Linked DNA regions of Macaca fascicularis. The protein of the gene in region 1 interacts with the protein of each later gene in a pairwise test. Links are inferred from orthologs where the notes say so. Each region holds a gene or a part of one and is shown on either strand. Other genes may lie near its edges.

Region 1 (3,562 bases):
CTTTTGTTGGAAGCACTGGTCAAAAATTGCTTTACTCGGAAGTTCCTAAGCTGCAAGGGCACAGAAGGCTACAGCACTACCCAGAGGAAAGGTTGTACCTATGTGCCTAAGAATGAAGACAACACAAGGGAAGCAGATCTGAGACCACATAGATGCCTTTCATATCCTTTGAGCTCCTGGATACAGCCACACCTGAAGCCTTTGTTGATTTTTTTTTTTTTTTTTTTGAGACGGAGTCTTGCTCTATCGCCCAGGCTGGAGTGCAGTGGTGTGACCTTGGCTCACTGCAACCTCAGCCTCCCGGGTTCAAGCGATTCTCCTGCCTCACCCTCCTGAGTGGCTGGGACTACAGGCGTGGGCCACCACACCCAGCTAATTTTTCGTATTTTTAGTAGAAATGGGGTTTCACCATGTTAGCCAGGCTGGTCTCGATCTCCCGACCTCGTGACCGCCATGCCTCAGCCTCCCAAAATGCTGGGATTACATGCGTCGGCCACCGTGCACGGCCATTGATTTTTCGTTTCTTTCCACCTAACAGTTACCTAATTTTGAAGTCTTTAAAAAGTGGCATTCTTGCCACTTACACATAAATATACACTGAATATAAACTGACAAGGATGTGGACTGAGAGAAGCATAGCAGGTGACCAGAAGGGAAGGCAGAGGCATAGAAAGGGGTCGAAGCTGGGGTGGGACAGTAGACAGCAGCAGTACTCACTGGACCAGATGGGAGGCCAGGACTTCCTTGCAGATGGGCTGCTCGGCCAGCGTCAGCCAGAACTCACAGGCCTCAAGGGCAACGTTCTCGTCATGGTCCTGGGTCCTCTGCAGCATGTACTGTGATAGCGGGGAGAAGCTGAGGCCTGGCCTGGGTAGGGGTGGCTCCCTGACCCTTGCCACCGGCCCCTTGCCTGCCTTCCTGGGCTGGCCTCGACCATGCACACCTGGATGATGCTGTGCATGTGGGGGATGAGCCTGTCGATCCGCACTTCCAGAAGCATCACCAGGGCGCGGCACACATTCTTCCGCACCTCGGGGTCATCATCCACGGCCAGGGCAAATAGGTGCTGCAGGGAGGAAAAGGGTCAGCTGTAGGGGCCCTTGGTCCTCACCCTGTCCACCCCCAGCCCAGCGTCCCACCTCAATGAAGGTGTCAATATTGTCCATCAGCGCCTGAGCCCGGTCCATGATGAACTGGTTCACGCAGGCGATGGCGTGGGACCTGGCGGGGAGCAGACACACGGGTCACCCTGAACCTGCCCACTCCAGGCTCCCTGAAGCCCCCAGAGAGCTGCACCCACCGGATCTTGGGACTGCAGTGCTTGAAGAACTGCAGGAACTTGGGGATCATGATGTTGAGGGGCCTGTTGAGCGCGTCACTGTCCAGAAGCTCTGATGAGTCTTCGCAGATCTTCTGCAGGGCTCCAAAGGCTCCCTGAGTGCAGAGGGGCAGAGAGACAAAGGTGGGTGGTGGGTGGTGGTCCCAGCCCCCCATACCCGCTCCGGCCATCTATGGCTTCTCGCCTACCTCACAAGTGTTGTAATCCTCCGAGTTGAGCAGGTTGCAGAGCTGGGGCAGCAGCTCGGGCCACATCTGCAGCTCACCCTTGGAAGCGATGGTGGTGATGAGAATGCCTGGGGCGGCCAGGAAAGGACGCTGCCTGAGGCCGGGCGGGGGCTGCCCAGCACCTCCCCTCCCACTGGGCACCCCCAGTGCTGCCTTTCTGTCCCCTAGCCCATGTATGCCCTCCACATCCCCCCCCTTTTTTTTTTTTTTTTGAGACGGAGTCTCACTCTGTCGCCCAGGTTGGAGTGCAGCGGCCGGATCTCAGCTCACTGCAAGCTCCGCCTCCTGGGTTCATGCCATTCTCCTGCCTCAGCCTCCCGAGTAGCTGGGACTACAGGCGCCCGCCACCTCGCCCAGCTAGTTTTTTGTATTTTTTAGTAGAGACGGGGTTTCACCATGTTAGCCAGGATGGTCTCGATCTCCTGACCTCGTGATCCGCCCGTCTCGGCCTCCCAAAGTGCTGGAATTACAGGCTTGAGCCACCGCGCCCGGCCTGTTTTTTTTTTTTTTTTTTTAAGAGATAGAGTTTGCTCTGCTGCCCAGGCTGGACTGCTGTGGCACAATCATAGTTCCCAGCAGCCTCGAACTCCTGGCCTCAAGCCATCTTCCCGCCTCAGCCTCCTGAGTCGCTGGGACTGCAGGCACATGCCACCATGCCCAACTAATTTTTAACATTTTTTGTAGAGATGGGATCTCACTATGTTGCCCAGGCTGGCCTGAAACTCGTGGCCTCAAGCAATCCTCCTGCCTCGGCCTCCAAAAGCACTGAGATTACAGGCGTGAGCCACCGCTCCTGGCCTTGACATAGGTAGAAGGGTACTCCTTGACTCAGTAAGCACCCTGAACCTTACTGTGAGTCAACTCTGTTCCAGGCCCTAAAGCACAGCACAGAGCAAAACACAAAATCGTCACCCTTGGGAGCTGGAAGTAAGCTACGAAGTAAAGATAAATTAGCAAAAAAACTGGGACGGGCCGTGCATAGCTGGCTCATGCCTGTAATCCCAGCATTTTAGGGGATCTAGGTGGGTGGATCACTTGAGGTCAGGAGTTCGACACCAGCCTGGCCAACATGGCAAAACCCCGTCTCTACTAAAAATACAAAAATTAGCTGGCTGTGGTGGGGGGCACCAGTAATCCCAGCTACTCGGGAGGCTGAGGCAGGAGAACTGCTTGAACTTGGGAGGCGGAGGTTGCAGTGAGCGGAGATCGCGCCACGGCACTCCAGCCCGGGACGGAGCAAGACTCCATTTCAAAAACCAAAAACAAAAACAAACAACTGGGAGGGGCCACATGCCAAGGACTAAAGGGGAGAAATATAGCAGAAAAGATGGTGAGAAAGGGCTGTAGGTGAAGCTAGCAACTTTAAATTGGGTGGCCAGAGCAGGCCTCATTGAGGTGACATCTTGATATCGAGGCAAGACCTGAAGGAGGTGAAGCAGGCAAGGGAGGAATCATCCAGGTCTCTGGGAAAAGGGCATCTCAGGCAGAGGACTCTATGGTGCGAAGGCCTGGCGTAAGGACAGGCATGATGTGCTAACAGATAGGTAAGGAGCCACTGGGGCTGGGCAGAGAGTGGGAGGGGAGAGAGGGAAAGGAGGTAAGGCAGGAAGGTGGCAGGGATGCTTGTACTGCCTATTAGACATCCAGGAGTCACATACAGCAGGCATCTGAGGTGCCAGGACAGTGCACGTATCTGGTGACAGAGCTGGATATGGGTTCTGTTAAGTGCAGAGATGGTTATTTACTGCCACAAGATGGCACTGTTTCCCAAGGGTGGAAACTGTCCATGACAGAAAGGTGCTCCCTGCAGTGGGTAGGTATAGTGAGGACCGTGGAACCTTAGCCACATCTCCTCACTCTCTGCACCTCAGCGCTTCCAGCCCTCAGAAGAGATAAAGAAAACCAGCCTCGGACACGCGCGGTGGCTCACGCCTGTAATCCCAGCACTTTGGGAGGCCGAGACGGGCGGATCACGAGGTCAGGAGATCGAGACCAC
Region 2 (3,562 bases), on another chromosome or scaffold:
ACCTTCCAGAGACTGCTCTAGAATAGACCATAACACGTCTCTCTGAAGTTTTCCTACAATCCAGTTTTCTCTGTTTTAACAACTACAGCTTAATATCATTGTGGATCAGCCACATTTAATTTATTGTTTTCTATATGACTTAAATAATGTTAATACTGTAATCTCTCCAGGTGTCATTCTCTATATTCTACTTGTGGGGTATCCACCCTTCTGGGATGAAGACCAACACAGACTCTATCAGCAGATCAAGGCTGGAGCTTATGATGTATGTAATAACTATTTATATCACTTTAGATGAAGGTTTGTTTTTTGCTTGCTGATCAAGAGCCAGATCTTTTCATTTTTCTTTTAACTATAATTTTTACCACTTTCTCTTATTATTTCCCTCTCTCTTAAGGAAAGGGAAAAAGAAATGCAGCATATGTGTTCAGCTTATGTTTCCTTTTAACTCACTCTCTCCTAAGATAAAAAGAAAAGTCATGTGAAGTCTCTGAGGAAGAACTTTGTCAAAATGTTTGGATCTTAGTGCATTTTAAAAACATAAAAATTAAAATATTTCTGCTATAAAAATGATTATTGCCCATTCAGTTGAATTATATTCTCAAATACCTATCACATAATTTTACATTATATACCAACAATATTTTGCAGTGATCACATATCAAATAGAACATTATTCCACTATACCAGTTTCTGGGTTTTGTTTTTTGTTTTTGTATTGTTTACCTAATGGGATGCTATGCAAGCTTTCATTTGAAGAATGAGTTTCACAATTGAAAAATTTGAAAATCATAATTCTAATATATTTAATTTTTAATTAGAATATTTGAAAGTAGATATATATATACATATTCATAAATTAAGTTCAGAATCTGAAGAGGAAGTCTTTATCTACTTTCTCTTTATGGCTTAACTTTGTGTTTATGATATAATTTGCTCTCCTTTGATATGTATTCTTGTAAATACGATTTACCACTTTCTCTGGTTTCCTCTCATACAGCCCTAGGGAAATCCATGTGCAGGATCTGGGCATGCTTTCCATGTGTCATTAAGTGGAGTAACTATGGAGTAGCAATATTGGGTTCACCTTTTGTGCACAAGTTGAAAGCTTTATGTGAAAGTGAGAGGAGAAAATATAAAATGTCTGTATTGTATTCTATCATGTCTCATGAACTCTTCAGTGCATTTCTGATAAAATTTTCTATTTAGATGGATGTGTGTTTCAGTTAGCAAGAATTTAAAATGTATATTCTTTGAATTTCGAAGCATTCCATTATCCCTAGACTAGTAATTGAAACAAATTATTATTTACATGGCAACAGCTAGCACATTCACCATCTTTACAGACTAGAACCAGCCCCTTTCTGGGCAGACGTAGCCCTGAAAATGCACTGCTTGGTATACCGGAGGAGTGCTTTCATGAAAATTAGAAAACTGAGGAAAAAGTTCACCTTTCTTCATGCTGAACCTACCCCTCATTTGCTATCAAAAGACCTGTACAACATTTAAGAAACAGCCTTGCATGTTTCTTTAGTAGCTCCTAACAGTTAGCAAGCTTTCACAACTGCCAAACATAAGCTTCAGGAATTAAAAAATGACAATTGTTAAGCTGGCAAGAAATTACAGGTATTAGAGTCAATATCATTTTTCTCGTGCTTTATTTTGCCAGTGAGTCACAAGTTCCCCATTTTAAAACTACCAAAAATAGACTAATTCCATTGACACAGTGACAATGGCTTTATTTTTCAAGATTGTCTACACAAATTCATGAATTGGGAAAATAACTTGATATTCTATCATTTTGCAACTAATGTAGTATAAATTTCCCTTAATCATTGAAGGACAGTATTTCTACTAAACATGCTAATGATATAAAAGTAATTTATTATCAGTACAAAAAAATAACATGAAGAGAGGAGAAGTAGCTTTCTTATATAGTCTTATTGTAAAAAAATATTAATAATGGGAAGTTATAAGATTTGATTACTTTCATATACTTTGGTGAAATTTGTAATTGGGCAGATTAAACTTCTTGAAGGGTTAAAATGAAATCTTGCTGAAGCTCCTATAGCCTCAGATTCTTCTCACTACAGCACTCCAAGTAGCCATGATTAATAGGTCAGTTTTGGCACAGGAATTGAAGCTGTTTTATTACCTCTGCTATTACTGCTTATAAGTTGTGAAAGTATATAATACCTCATTTTGAACCTTGGCATAATATTACGATGGCATTGGTACATGTAGCAACCTCTTTGCTTTTATTAAGTTTTGCAAATAATTATGAGAAAGATTGTATAAAATTTCATGTTCAGATCAAAGCAGAGATACTTTGAGAATAGAAGATTCTTAAGTTCTTTTTTTCTGAATTTTAAAATGTATTTACCATATGTGATATGCAGCTCAGTATATATGTTGGTCCCTTATCAGATACTCTTTAATATATATAGTTGTCTACATAGAGGGGGAGAATAGATCTAAATGATTTTATTTATTTTAGATACAATTTAACTTATATAAAAAGTAAATTTATGAAGAAATTCACTACTTGAGGAAATGATTCATATAGTTGACTCTTCCCTGTTTGATTGAGTGTGTCTATTTTTTAAACTTTTTATAAATTTATATTTTTGAAGTTTCCATCACCGGAATGGGACACGGTAACTCCTGAAGCCAAAGACCTCATCAATAAAATGCTTACTATCAACCCTGCCAAACGTATCACAGCCTCAGAGGCACTGAAGCACCCATGGATCTGTGTAAGTAAAACTTCTCAAAAACTTCAAGAGCTAAAATGAAAAATAAGCTGTCCTTTAATATATTGTTTATGGATTTAAAATAACTTTGCAAAAAAAAGATGAAATTCAGAATGAATGAATTTTTGACTCAAGGTGTTTAAGAAAATGAATTTTATGATGGCGAAGAAATGCAATTTTCAGTAGCAAAGTCTGAATTGCATAGATTATTAAACAAATATTGCTTGCAGTAACAAAAGGAATGAGTATTCTTCGTATCAATTATTGACAATACTCGTGAACAAGGTCAAGAAAATAACACCAAAATTAAATGTATCCCAGAAGAAAAGATTTAACAAAGTTCAATTATTTGTCATTAGGCAACTTTAGAAGCAAGTATGAAGTTTGGCAGCTGAGAGTAGAGTTTTAGTGGCATAAAAGAATGGTCATAGTAGTCTGAATATTTTTTAGAAATATTAAGAAAAATAGTGTGAAATTTGAGGGGAATCTGAAGACTTCAGTAAATTTCTGAATGTGTCAAATGCTAAGATGATAAATGCGGCACTAAGTAAATGAAAGGCAGCCCAATCGAAATGTGATTGAAGACATTAAAATAAAGATAATTTGAGAAATTATTAATATTTATTTCTACACTTTCTGGTATTTTTATTTTGTTTTGTTTTGACACAGAGTCTTGCTCTTGTCACCCAGGCAGGAGTGCAGTGGCACAGTCTTGGCTCACTGCAACCTCCGCCTCCCAGGTTCAAACAGTTCTCCTGCCTCAGCCTCCCGAGTAGCTGGGATTACAGGTGCCCACCACCACACCCGGC

What was found. The genes of interacting proteins can lie anywhere in the genome.
Region 2: the proteins of TNPO2 (region 1) and CAMK2D interact in binary tests that used the Homo sapiens proteins (3 or more experiments, as listed by UniProt). The two-hybrid records come from large-scale screens. The link is inferred for Macaca fascicularis from reciprocal best matches to the Homo sapiens genes TNPO2 and CAMK2D.

Annotation. Positions count from the first base shown.
Region 1 is NC_088393.1:13,102,730-13,106,291, forward strand, and holds part of TNPO2 (transportin-2), read right to left. Parts: intron 1,635-3,562; coding exon 1,528-1,634; intron 1,435-1,527; coding exon 1,301-1,434; intron 1,222-1,300; coding exon 1,140-1,221; intron 1,067-1,139; coding exon 944-1,066; intron 837-943; coding exon 718-836; intron 1-717. UniProt on the Homo sapiens protein: Probably functions in nuclear protein import as nuclear transport receptor. Serves as receptor for nuclear localization signals (NLS) in cargo substrates.
Region 2 is NC_088379.1:119,046,620-119,050,181, reverse strand, and holds part of CAMK2D (calcium/calmodulin-dependent protein kinase type II subunit delta), read left to right. Parts: intron 1-170; coding exon 171-265; intron 266-2,633; coding exon 2,634-2,756; intron 2,757-3,562. UniProt on the Homo sapiens protein: Calcium/calmodulin-dependent protein kinase involved in the regulation of Ca(2+) homeostatis and excitation-contraction coupling (ECC) in heart by targeting ion channels, transporters and accessory proteins involved in Ca(2+) influx into the myocyte, Ca(2+) release from the sarcoplasmic reticulum (SR), SR Ca(2+) uptake and Na(+) and K(+) channel transport.